Linked DNA regions of Arabidopsis thaliana. The protein of the gene in region 1 interacts with the protein of each later gene in a biochemical or structural test. Each region holds a gene or a part of one and is shown on either strand. Other genes may lie near its edges.

Region 1 (6,890 bases):
CGTTAGAAATTATGGAATTTTTATTTATAATATTTTTGAACCCCAAATCAGATAAAATTTTTAAAAAATATTTTTTCACCATAAGTTTTTAATGTTAGAATTATCTTATATTGGAAGTGGAAATGAATGTTAGGAACAAAAGTCTTTAACATAAAAATTTGTGCCTTTAAAATAGCTCTTAACTTTCATCTCCACGTTGATTAATTTAGACCATCCTGTGTTGACGTTGAGTTTGTGATCTTTTTCAATGAAAACAAATATCTAGTGTAATTTTTTTTTTTTTGACGTAATTACTTAGAATATTTAAAAGGGTCTAATTGCACAAGTTTTATGCCGCCATTATGAATAATAGCATAGGTTGGATATTTTAGATAATTTGTTGCAATATAGTGATGTATTGCAATAAATATAAACGTTTAATCGTTTAAACGCACCATTTAGTGTCATAATTTACGTAAATATCGTTTTTAAGGTTCCAACTGCACAAGTTTTTTATGCCGTCACCATAAATGGTATAAGCATGATATTTTCTAGTATAATTTGTTGCAATGCATCACTATTTCCTAAGTTTTTCAAAAACATTATATACAGAATAAATTCAAATAGCATTTTACATTATACTAATTTGTTATTAAGCCTTTAAAACGCATTATTTAGTATGAAGCTATCAATGTATAATGTATCATATCATGCAAATGGCATATCCAAAGGGAGATGAAGAACGTCAGAAGCATGACGAGAGATGCTTGAGCCGTGAGGGTAGCCTCGTGGGAATGAATACAAAAAGCTCACACATAAAAGTAGCATTTTTAATGGCCACCAAATCTTATCACCCTTTTTGGGATATTTTTAAAAAATTTTGAAAATAAAAGAAATATTCTTTATCTGATTCCTATTACTGAAAAGTGAACACTGAATAAAACGTCAGTTCATTGGTTTCTCCTATTTTTACAATTACAGAAAATCATCTCTCTATTTTGTTTTGTTATTTCGTTTAGTACAATGCCGCAAATAAAAACACTAGCCATTTAATAACTCACTTTGTTTGCTTATTGAATTGTCCAACCAATTACTCATTCTTAATTAGTATGACTGTTAGTATCTTTTAGAAGAAAATTAAAGCGAAGAATTATAATTCAAACATTTTTCTAACGACAAATTAACACGCACTACTACCACATCATTCATCATCAATTGATTCCCTCATATGGTCAGTCAACAACATATGCTCAGTGAACAAAAACCTCACCATCTTCTCTCCCTCCCTTTTCTTGCTACAAATCTTCATTTCCTTTCACTTTCTTACCTCGTTCATAAATCGTATCCAAAGTATTATTCGGTTTCATTCGGAGCTCTTGCTCACCATGACCGTATTAGGCTTAAAATTAAAATTAAAATGAGTAATTTCTAGTCTCTATTTATATAACCGCATCCGCATGAGTATTTAAAATTAGTAAATTCTAGTCTCTATTTATATGTCATCCCAATTGTTTCCCCCACTATATTGGGCTTAAAAGAAACAAAAGCAGGCCCACATAGGCCTTCATCTTCTCCAAAACTTGAGTGGCGCCAAACAGTAAAATTGCATTTTTGTCATTTGGAGGCAAATCCACCCGTCAAAACCTTGGCGGGAAAATCAACGACCCTTCTTTTTAGTGAATCCCCAATTTTATTTTTTTATCCTTTTTTTTTTTCAAACCTATCCATCTTCCCACTCCCTTCTTCTTCTTCTTCTCCAAAAACCTAAGAACTCTGAGAAAAAAAAAATCCAAAATCAAAATCACGAAAGGAACAACAAATCTCCACTCAGCTCGTGTTTCTCGCAATCGATTTCTTAGATTCTAGATCTTGTTTCAATTTTCCTGGGTTTATAGATTCCCGAATTTTTCTAGTTTTTTTTTTTGCGATGGACGAAGTTTCGACGGTGAATGAAAATGAGAATCGGAAGACGATGATAGAGCCAAAGAAGCTGAATAAGCGGAAGAGAGAACCCACGGCGATTGAGAATCTAACATCTGAGGAGAAAGAATCTCAGATCTCGTCGTTGAATCTAGAGATGAAAGGGCTTTTTGATTATTTCAGAGAAGTTATGGATAAGAGTAAGAGAACAGATCTGTTTTCTGGATTTAGTGAATGTTCCTCATTGAATTCGATGGTGGCTTTGTTAATGGAGGAAATGAGTTTGCCGTTGTCGAAGCTTGTAGATGAGATTTACTTGAAATTGAAGGAGAAGACTGAAAGTGTTACTATGGTAGCTGTGAAGAGTGCTGTTGTTTCTGTTGGTCAGAGAGTTAGTTACGGTGTGCTTAACGTAGATGCTGATGTTTTGGAGGATGATTCTGAATCTTGTCTTTGGTGCTGGGAGGTAATCTTAGTTTGCTAATCTTACAAGTTTTGATCTTTGAATCTAATGGTAAGTTTGGTGTGGTTTATACTCTTTGGTGATGTCATTTAATGTTTGAGATGTAATGTTTATTTGATGTTGTAGACGAGAGATCTGAAAATCATGCCGAGTTCCGTTCGTGGAGTGTTAAAACTTCGCCGGACTTGTCGAAAGAAGATTCATGAAAGGATTACAGCAGTTTCTGGTAAATGTTGTTTTTAGTGGTGATTCGTATTGATTGTTTGTTTATAAGATGTGAGTGTTTATGCCCTATGTTGTGTTTCAGCAATGTTAGCTGCATTACAAAGAGAAGAAACTGAAAAGTTGTGGAGATCTGATTTGAGTAAAGCTGCTGAGAAGCTTGGTAAAATACTGAGTGAGGTGGATATTCGATCATTCATGGATAACATGATGCAGAAGAACAGCTCAGAAATGTAAGTATCTTCTGTTAGTACTTGGTTTACATTTTATCTCTTGTTTTTCATTCTTACTCAGTTATTGTGTTTGATCGTTAAGGGCTGAGAAAGACTCAAAGAGAGAAGAGAAGCTGCTTCTTAAACAATTGGAGAAAAATAGATGTGAAGCTGAGAAGGAGAAGAAGAGAATGGAACGTCAAGTATTGAAAGAAAAATTGCAACAAGTAAGCTGATCTTTTTCTTCATTGTCTTCTAGAAGTCTTTTCTGGCGCTGTTTATTCTCTTTTAGTCATCTAGGATGTGTTGTTTGATTTCAAAGTCTGACTTCTGACTGAGCATTTGTTCACTGTGACAGGAAAAAGAGCAGAAGCTACTGCAGAAAGCAATTGTTGATGAAAATAATAAAGAAAAAGAAGAGACAGAGTCAAGAAAACGGATAAAGAAACAGCAAGATGAGTCGGAGAAGGAGCAGAAGCGTAGAGAGAAGGAACAAGCCGAGCTAAAGAAGCAACTTCAAGTACAGAAACAAGCTTCAATCATGGAACGGTTTCTTAAAAAGAGCAAAGATAGTTCATTGACCCAACCCAAACTTCCTTCCAGTGAAGTAACTGCTCAGGAGCTGTCATGTACAAAACATGAGAATGAAATTGGAAAAGTTGTTCAGGCAATTGACAACGCCTTTTCAACAACTTGTGAAGCTACAGTTGATGATATTCGCAGGTATGACATTGGTTCTCCTTGTTGATTGATTCTGTGAGGTGTCACTTTGGGTATTGTGATCTGAGTTGTATTTCTTTGTAGGGAACACTTTGCTTCCTGGCGTCAGTTGGGTCATTTGCTCTCGAGTTCGAAAAAACATTGGGGGATGCGTAGGCAGCCTAAGAGTGAACTGTTTCCAAAACTAAAACTATCTACAAATAGTGGAGTAACATCTGACGGTGAACCTAACATGGAGAAGCAAGGGGATGGATGTGAAGAGAATAACTTTGATGGTAGGCAGTGTAAGCCTTCCTCATCTAATCGTAAGAAGTCCAGGAGGGTCAAGCAGTTGTTACAATTTGATAAAAGCTGCAGACCAGGCTTTTATGGTATCTGGCCCAGCCAAAGGTTAGTAATTATTTTGAAAATTTTCATTTCAGCAGTAAGCTTATATAATATAGATTATTAGTTAGCCAAAAAGCCTTGACTAACTGCAAGCTTTCCCCTGGGTTTGTTTGGTACTGTTTTTTGATATTAGCTTTGTTGCGAAACATTTTTCAATTTTCACTGCATAAGTCATAAAGTTTTCCGATGCTGCCTATGTGACTACTTTTTTCATGGTGTTTAATAAAGCAGATGATAAATGACCTATGAAGTAAACATACTTTTACGCTACTTTACCCTGTTCTGATTCCTTAATTAACTAACCATCGTCTATGTTGGATCTGTGGTTATTATCGTCCAATGCATTTCAATTTGGATTGAACAATCATTGTAGTGAACTTGTAATGTACAGAACGTTCTCTGTGATTCTGATACGACAATACCATTTGTTATTCTGATATGCATCTAGCTGTTCAATTAAGTAGTGTTCACTCTCTAAGTTTGCTTACAATGGTACTGAGGGATCTGTTGTTTAACATTTGCAGTCAAGTTGTAAAGCCACGTCGTCCTCTGCAAAAGGATCCAGAATTGGATTATGAAGTTGATAGTGATGAAGAATGGGAAGAGGTAGGTTTATTGAATTCAGTACATGCTTTTTAAACTTGACAAAAGATCACTGGGTAATAAAGATACTTCTTTACAGGAAGAAGCTGGTGAAAGCCTTTCAGATTGTGAGAAAGATGAAGACGAAAGTTTGGAAGAAGGATGTTCAAAGGCTGATGATGAAGATGATAGTGAAGATGACTTTATGGTGCCTGATGGATATCTCTCAGAAGATGAGGTAACAAAAGCAATTTTTAATGAACTCGTCATAGATTCTTATAAATCTAGGTTGCAATCTAGGAATCTGCTGAAGTCAAATTTGCATTTCTTTGTAGTATCCAAACTATTGATCAAGTTACAACTTGAATTCCTCATTCATTCTTATAATTGATCACTCATTTTCTTTGAGCATGTGCCAATTTTGTGAAGGGGATAGTTAACTAAAGGCAGCTACGCTATAACGAATGTAAAGTTTCTTAACAAAGTGTGTTGTTTGTTTCAGGGGGTCCAAGTGGACAGAATGGACATTGATCCGTCTGAACAGGATGCAAATACGACATCATCTAAGCAAGATCAAGAAAGTCCAGAGTTTTGCGCATTACTCCAACAACAAAAACATCTGCAAAATTTAACTGACCATGCTCTGAAGAAAACGCAGCCACTGATCATATGTAACCTAACTCATGAGAAGGTCTCTCTCTTAGCTGCTAAAGATCTAGAAGGGACACAAAAAGTAGAACAAATATGTCTGCGAGCTCTCATGGTGCGACAATTCCCTTGGTCTTCTCTCATTGAGATATCGATCAACGACATTCAAGATGAAGATCAAGAAGCCAGCAAGTTTTCTTGTAGCCAGAGCACTCCTCCATCTAATTCAAAAGCAAAAATCATACCAGACTCAGATTTGCTTACAGTTGTAAGTGGATCTCTCCAAACAAATAACATTGTTTATGTATTGCTACTTAGCCCTAACAAGAATTTGGCGTCCAGGTATCAACTATTCAATCATGCTCTCAAGGTATCAATAGGGTAGTTGAAACATTACAGCAGAAGTTCCCTGATGTTCCAAAGACCAAGCTTAGACAAAAAGTGCGTGAAATATCAGATTTCGAGGATAGTCGTTGGCAGGTTAGTTAATACTTCGATCTTCTATTTTGAGTTTTTTGCCTTGAGACATAGTTGCTTATCACCATTCCCGCGATCCTTTGTTCTAACGAGCAGGTAAAGAAAGAAGTATTGACAAAGCTTGGATTATCACCGTCACCAGATAAAGGCGGTAAGAGATTACCGAAAACGATATCTACATTCTTCTCAAAACGTTGTTTACCTCCATCCACAAAACCACAACCTGCAGTTGAAGACGCAGCAGAGAGATTGGAAAACGAAAATGCTTAAGTCTACTCACAGTTTCCATCTTTATTTTTTTGGTTACATCCATCCCTCAACTTGGCTAAATCCTTTTTGTTTGCTTCTTGTGGATATGTATAATGCTCAATATCGGTAAAAATGTTTGAGATGAGGGAAATGATAAAATGGTTTAAGTATTAAGAAGCAACATGAAATAGCGAGATGTTTTGTTCTGTTAAAAAGGCTTTAAAACTTGGGAGTAATCATAAACCCTTATTTTATAATACGACACCGTTTAAATCGTTTTCACTTCTTCTTCCTCGCGGTCTCAGCCTCCTCCATCTTTTCTTCTTCGCAAGTTTTCTCACGACTTCGAAATCAATCTGTCTACAAAGCTATATTATGTATATAGAGTTCATTGTAAATATTCTGGTTTTGTATAGTTTTAACTGGAGTCTGTATAGGTTGGTTTAGCTGGTTAAGAGGCTCTGGTTTAGGCCTGGTCAATTGTATATAAACCCCCAATTGTAACTTTTACCAAATTAATGAGAATGAGATTATTTACTAATAAGCTAGATTACATGTTAAGATCTCCAAACAAATAACATTTCTCTTAATATATATTGCTACTTATTATCTTTAACAAAATTTGGAGTCCATAGAGGCAGAGAGATTGGAAAACGCGCGAGTTTAATTAAGACTCATAATTTCCATCTTTTTTTTTTGGTTACATCCTTTTTTCGGTTTCTTGTGGATACAAATGTATGATGTTTATATAAGATCGGTAAAAGCGTTTTAGGTGAGGGAATGATAAATGGTTAAGAAGAAATGTTTTTATTCAGTACTCAAAAGTCTCTATAAATTTCCTTTACGTACTTCCATATCAAATCACCTTTAAATCTTTTGTGCTTGTTTATACTTAGAGAAAGTAGCAGAAAATAGATGTTTTATAACGTTCACTTTTCAACCGTATACAAATATAAAATACCATAATGTGTTTATAATCGTCAAAGAAGTAAAATAAAGCAATAGCAATGCAAAGTGAAGCCATCACGAAA
Region 2 (6,750 bases), on another chromosome or scaffold:
GTGTTTTCCTAGCCACTTATATGTTATGTTTTGCAACCAATATGTTTGAGGATATATTGATGCGAACATATGCCCTCTCTTTATTTTATAAACATTAATTCAAGATTATGCGTTTTATTATTAAAAAATATGACTACTCTTTATTGCATACATTGAAAGCTTTACTAGGAAAGGGCGTTGAGAAAAAATATTGAAAGTGAAAGTCTTCAAATTAAGGAGATTATTGATAAGAATCCTAATTCCATCGAAATCCTTCGTATGCATCTTTGTTCTCAAAACCAAATCTTATGTTTATTCAAGATGCAGCTAAGAGTAGAACGTTAAGGTCCTAGCTACTCGAAGATTGTTAAGGTTACGAGAAATAACTGCATCGTTTGTTTGTGTTGATTGATTTGGTTCATCATATTCTCCCTTTGCTCCAAAATCCAAGTATACTTCTTTTATGATCATATTTATTTTTTTAAAATAAATTCTCTAGTATCAAGAGAATGAATGTGATCATAAAAGAACTGTACCTGAATTTTTGGACAGAAGACGAATATGATGAACCAAGTAAATTATCCCAAATAACCAATAAAATTATTTCTAGTTACCTTAACGGTCTTCAAGAAACTAAGACCTTTACGGTCTATAATTATATGCTTCATGTATATTTAAGTGTTTACATCCTTACGTTACATTTTATAATAAGGATTATAGGACTTTATTTAAATTTGAAATGATGTATGTTAAGAAATAGTTTAGAACTTTAGATAGTATATAATCATGTTGGTTATTAAACTCAAATTATTTGGATTCTTCAGTAACAAAATTTTGGTAGTTATCACCACGTCAGTTGCAAACAAAATGGCCTCATGACGAAGCAGCAAGTAAGTTTTTACATGTCCTTTTAACGGACTATTTGTACATAATAGAAGTTGAAACATAGACTGCTTTCAAGTTTCACCAAAATTGAGTTTAGGTATTACGTTGAATCTGACAAATGGTTTAAGGCTAAACCCCTATTAGGACAAACACTGAAACTGAGGTTGACCAAGAAACATCTCGAGGATAAGAGTCCATAGTCAAATAAGAACAAACAGTAATGGATAAAGTAAGTGATAAGGAGGCCGATTAGGAGCAGCTGCTATTTTTTGTTGTAAAAACTTTGGTTATTATGATTTTAATTGTAAAAAATTGGCTGTAGAGATTTTGACTATGGAGAATTTAATTATTAAAATCTGATTAGTAACAAAAAAAAACTGTAACAACTTATTTTATTATTATTAAATATTTTTTTATAAATATAATTTATGCTAAATATGAATTTATTTGAAAAATTAGTGACTAAAATAAATTTATTATGAAAATTACAAAATTCATAAATAAAAAAAATTATTTTACAAATTCACTATTTTAAATACTCCATCTGTTTCACAATATAAGTTGTTTTAGCTAAAAGCACACAAATTAAGAATATTTACTTTTAAAAAGTTCTACCAATCATAAAAGAGAGTGCATAATATAGATAATCATAAAATATTAAAATAATATATAATTTGTATTGAAACTTGAAAACAACTTATATTGTGAAACAAAAAATTTGATCTAAAATAACTTATATTATGAAACGGAAGGAGTATTCAAATTGGATCAAAAATAAAATAAAAGTCTATTTAATTAATCAAAATTATTTGATAATAAAATATAAATTATTTATATATTTATTTATTATTCTCTCTCAAGATAAAACTCGATTTATTACTTTTATGAATTAGGAGCTGAAAATTCTGCAAAATACCCAATTGGGTCAGGCTCATAAATTTATATATGGGCTTAAAAATAAGGCCCAATAGATATATTTAGTTCATGAATCTACTTCTCTTCTCTATTTATTTCACTCACTGTCTCTCTCTGACAATTCGAAGTTGTAGCAAACCTTGCTTTCAATCGACGAAGGAGTTTTGAGTTGAGGAAGTGAGTAGAAATCAATGGAGGAAGAATCTAAGAATGGCGGAACCACGATTCCGACTGAAGAATTGGCGGTGGTTGCGGTGCCACCTGTAGTAGAAGAAGAGGAGCCGATGGTCGGACCTGGACCAGCTCCACGAGGCAAACGCAAGCGTCCGCTTCAATTCGAGCAAGCTTATCTTGATTCGCTTCCTTCTGCTAATATGTAAGTATGTCTTATGCTTTGGAACCCTCTCTGTTCCTAATCGAATCAAGTTTTGGGGTTTAGGGTTTTAATTTGAGCTTATTGGTTTAGTATTGTTGTTGGTATATATGAGCTTATTATCTGTGAATTGGTATTGAAAAAGTAACTCTTGTATATTTTTTCACTAGGTATGAGAAAAGTTATATGCATCGAGATGTAGTTACACATGTTGCTGTTTCAGCAGCTGAGTTCTTTATAAGTGGAAGTATGGATGGTAATGTTTCTCATCTTTGTGATATTTATGATTTCATTCTGGTTTTGTAATGGCAAAGCATAACATATGTATATTTTGCATAATCTAGGTCACTTGAAATTTTGGAAGAAAAAGGGTGTTGGTATCGAGTTTGCTAAGCATTTCCGCTCCCATCTCGGTCCAATTGAAGGTCTAGCGGTAAGTATCGCGAGTGGTTTTTAAGATACTGTCACCTCAAATCCAGGCATATGCTCCATGTTTTGAAAGATTAGCTTTTTATTTGTTTATTGAATGAAGATAGTTGACCTGGCGGGGAAATTATAGTTAGACATGTTATGGTTTCCGCAATTTTTTTGTTTGTGTCTAGTTCTATTATCAACCAATGACTCGTTTCAGCAATGCAGGTTAGCATTGATGGTTTGCTTTGCTGTACAATCTCAAATGATCATGCTGTTAAAATATATGATGTTGTCAACTACGATATGATGGCCATGATCCGTTTGCCATATATTCCTGGTGCTGTTGAGTGGGTCTACAAGCAAGGGGATGTCAAAGCTAAACTTGCTGTCAGTGACCGAGACTCTTTGTTTGTGCACATTTATGATCCTCGTTCTGGTTCCAACGAACCCATTGCTTCAAAAGAGGTTTGTTTCAATCTCTTTTTCTTTTGTTGTTATTTCTTGACTCATCATTTTTTATCAAAGCTAACAGTTTTTTTTAATCTTTGTATACCCAGATACATATGAATCCAATTAAGGTCATGAAGTACAATCCTGTTTCGGACACAATGATCTCTGGTGACACAAAAGGAATCATTGAGTACTGGAGTGCAACTACATTACAGTTTCCCGAGGATGAGTATGTCCTTGTCTCACTTCTTATCAAAAACGCTTTTATTATTCCATTTCGGTATTGCTGTTTGTTTTCTATAAATTGGAGCGTGTAGGATAAGAGAAGCATACCTGTTTTTCTGCGTGTGGCTAATGTAGTTAAATATCATATTACTGAGAATGATGCAAAGAGGAGCCTGTAGTAGAAATACTTTAGTTGCCAACTTCTTAGTTGACCATCTTTAGAATTTCAGTATAGTTGATGGGCTGCTTTCATTAATGGTTCACAGGTTGACCTTTTACTTGTTGTTGTAGGGTAAACTTTAAACTGAAGAGTGATACAAATCTCTTTGAGATTATAAAGTGCAAAACAACAATCTCTGCCATTGAGGTACTTATTTGGCATTTAGTATCCTTGGTTTTTCTTTACATCCTTAGAATGCAGCTATTAGCAATTGATATGTCTGGTGAAAATCATAATGCAAATTTGGTCTCTAAGTTTAGTGAAATTCTTTTCAGGTGAGTCCAGATGGTAAACAGTTTTCCATTACAGCTCCTGATCGTAGGATTCGTGTGTTCTGGTTTAGAACTGGTAAACTGAGGCGGGTATATGATGAGTCACTTGTGGTAAGGTTACATACTCTATGCTTCTTTCCTTACATGTTTTCACGTTAATCTGTCATGGTTAATGATCCATTCCACTATTAGGTGGCCCAAGATCTGCAGAGGAGTGATGCTCCCTTATACAGGCTTGAAGCTATTGACTTTGGTAGAAGAATGGCAGTTGAAAAGGAACTTGAAAAAACCGAGAGTGCTCCGCAGCCCAATGCTGTGTTTGATGAAAGCTCTAATTTCCTTATATACGCCACTTTTCTTGGAATAAAAGTAAGGAATCCACTTATTGTTTTCGTTTTAAATTACCATAGACTAGCATAACAGTCTAGACATGATAAGTATCCTGTCTCACATGCACATGATACAATTAACGAGCTTAAAGACCTGGGATTTTCACCTTTACTTAGGTGATGACCAAGATATAATGTGGTTACTTCTTTGTACCATATATGAAAGTGGTTATACTTTCTGCCAATATAGTGAATTTAGAATAAAAGAAGCTTGAGATTTTTTTTGTAAATTTGGGTGTCTAAGGGGTAGTGGGAGGAGCTCCATTATCACTAACCCTCAATATCTATGTATTTTCAGCAGATCATTATGTAAAAGCGGACCAGTTTTTATGATTTGATTGTATCAGAACTCTTCCATGCGTAGTAAATGGAATCATGACAAGCAACTGCTAATTTCTCTGTCTACCTTTTTGTTCTCTAGGTAATAAATTTACACACCAACACAGTTGCAAGGATCCTTGGAAAGGTGGAGAGTAATGAAAGGTATCTGAGAGTTGCATTATATCAAGGTGATCAAGGAGGCAAGAAAGTTAGAAAGATTCCTGCAGCTGCAGCAAATGTAAATGAAAGCAAGGAGCCTTTGACTGATCCGACTATCCTATGCTGTGCCTTTAAGAAACACAGGATCTATATGTTCAGGTACGTGACTCATATTGTGCTAGAATGACTCATCTTTATGTTGTGGGAGAAAGAATTATTTTTTCGCACCTTTAGATTCTACTTTGTAGAAAGACCTCATATGTTTTCTCTAGATATCCCGAGAACTACTTTGAATTTATTATCAACAAATTGGTTTCTGCAGTCGGAGAGAGCCAGAAGAACCTGAAGATGCAAGCCAAGGGAGAGATGTGTTTAACGAGAAGCCTGCTGCTGATGAACTTATGTCTGTCTCAGATATTGGAAACTCAGCCACAACATCCCTTCCAGAGAACGTGGTATGTTTTCATAACCCACAATGTTGGTATCTATTTTACTTTTCATTACGTACTGTAATTTGGATCCTTAACACAATAACTCTTTTTAACTCCTAATCATCCAGATAATGCATACTACGCTTGGTGACATTCACATGAAGCTTTACCCAGAAGAATGTCCCAAAACTGTGGAGAATTTCACAACACACTGTAGAAATGGCTATTACGATAACCACCTTTTCCATCGGGTTATCAGAGGATTTATGATACAGACTGGAGATCCTCTTGGGGATGGTACTGGAGGACAGTCAATTTGGGGCAGAGAATTTGAGGACGAGTTTCACAAAAGGTAAACATTTCTTACAGGCTGCTTTGAGTTTAGCCATCCGTTTAGAAACAAATGAAATCTAACTTAGTTTGATACGTTGTTCTTTTACTTGGCCTGCAGTCTAAGGCATGACAGGCCGTTCACATTGTCTATGGCAAATGCCGGCCCAAACACAAATGGGTCTCAGTTCTTCATCACAACAGTGGCTACACCGTGGCTAGACAATAAGCACACTGTTTTTGGAAGAGTTGTGAAGGGAATGGACGTCGTTCAGGTATGATTTGAAAACCAAAAAGAATATTTTTACTTGTTGGCTTAGTGTGACTTAGTGCCTAACCATAAAACCAAATGAACAGGGTATAGAGAAAGTGAAGACAGACAAGAACGACAGGCCTTACCAAGATGTGAAGATACTTAATGTCACCGTTCCGAAATCTTAGCATCTTTGCTACTGTCTCAAAGATAGTGAACAATCTATGCTGATCCGTAACCCCGTGATTGGTTCTATGCTGGGAAGTTGTTCTTGCGGAGATGGATCGAACTGTGGGATATGTTTGTTGTACCCGAGCAGATCAGGTTAAGTTGGTGGCATCATCTTCTTGACACTAAACATTATTTTATGTTTTTGTCAAACAAATTTTATGAGAATGCTTAGTGAACAAAAAGACTTCAACTTCTAATGTTACTTCAATTCCTCTTATTTTCTTGAAATAGAGTTGATCTACTTTCTTCTAATTTATCCAAGCTTCATGGGTTTATGTCTGAAACGACAACACGACAACACCAATGTTTGAAGTTAATAACATAGAATCTCAATTTCACTTGGATTTGGATTTTTCTGTTTATTTGGGATCACTAAAGATAAACTTTTCCATGAGTGTATCAAATTCTAGCCCTCTTAGGCACTTATTTTGTGATATGCTAACATACTATGAACTAAACTATGTAAATTACAAGCTTAGACCAGATTCAACATGTAAATCAAACGGAAAACGATAAATGAATAACCCGCAAGGTCGCAACATAGTTGAAAAAACTCTTCTTGCTTCATTATCTAAGGAGTAAAATTCGTAATCCAAGAAGCAAAAACCAGAACCACTAAGAGAACAAAAAATCAAATCTCGACTCCTTTCCGTGGGGACAAAAACCTTACTCGAAGAGACTGAATCCCATGTCCTGCATCAAAGGTGAAGGATATAACAAAGAGTCAGATAAAGACCAATATCAAGACCATAACAAAGACTAAGTAATAAGGAAACAAAATGATAAAGAGAGAAATGCTTTACATCATCAGACTCTTCTTTCTCTTCCTTCTTGGCTTCTTTCTTCTCCGCAGGGGCAGCAGCACCACCACCACCGCTTGATGGAGCAGCTGAAACAGCCACA

What was found. The genes of interacting proteins can lie anywhere in the genome.
Region 2: the proteins of FAS1 (region 1) and CYP71 form a complex in vitro, tested with the Arabidopsis thaliana proteins (one study listed by BioGRID).

What each region holds. Positions count from the first base shown.
Region 1 is NC_003070.9:24,318,896-24,325,785, reverse strand, and holds FAS1 (chromatin assembly factor-1 (FASCIATA1) (FAS1)), read left to right. Parts: upstream 1-1,694; 5' UTR 1,695-1,906; coding exon 1,907-2,365; intron 2,366-2,488; coding exon 2,489-2,588; intron 2,589-2,669; coding exon 2,670-2,817; intron 2,818-2,899; coding exon 2,900-3,023; intron 3,024-3,154; coding exon 3,155-3,519; intron 3,520-3,600; coding exon 3,601-3,906; intron 3,907-4,427; coding exon 4,428-4,509; intron 4,510-4,585; coding exon 4,586-4,723; intron 4,724-4,987; coding exon 4,988-5,401; intron 5,402-5,475; coding exon 5,476-5,613; intron 5,614-5,706; coding exon 5,707-5,880; 3' UTR 5,881-6,390; downstream 6,391-6,890. UniProt on the Arabidopsis thaliana protein: Component of the chromatin assembly factor complex (CAF-1) involved in chromatin assembly following DNA replication and DNA repair. Assembles histone octamers onto replicating DNA in vitro.
Region 2 is NC_003074.8:16,164,422-16,171,171, reverse strand, and holds CYP71 (cyclophilin71), read left to right. Parts: upstream 1-1,867; 5' UTR 1,868-1,970; coding exon 1,971-2,155; intron 2,156-2,322; coding exon 2,323-2,408; intron 2,409-2,496; coding exon 2,497-2,585; intron 2,586-2,791; coding exon 2,792-3,031; intron 3,032-3,123; coding exon 3,124-3,245; intron 3,246-3,532; coding exon 3,533-3,608; intron 3,609-3,736; coding exon 3,737-3,844; intron 3,845-3,925; coding exon 3,926-4,102; intron 4,103-4,543; coding exon 4,544-4,761; intron 4,762-4,924; coding exon 4,925-5,057; intron 5,058-5,161; coding exon 5,162-5,385; intron 5,386-5,484; coding exon 5,485-5,638; intron 5,639-5,720; coding exon 5,721-5,804; 3' UTR 5,805-6,237; downstream 6,238-6,750. Other genes in the region: AT3G44590 (60S acidic ribosomal protein family), read right to left, coding at 6,514-6,540, 6,651-6,750. UniProt on the Arabidopsis thaliana protein: PPIases accelerate the folding of proteins. It catalyzes the cis-trans isomerization of proline imidic peptide bonds in oligopeptides.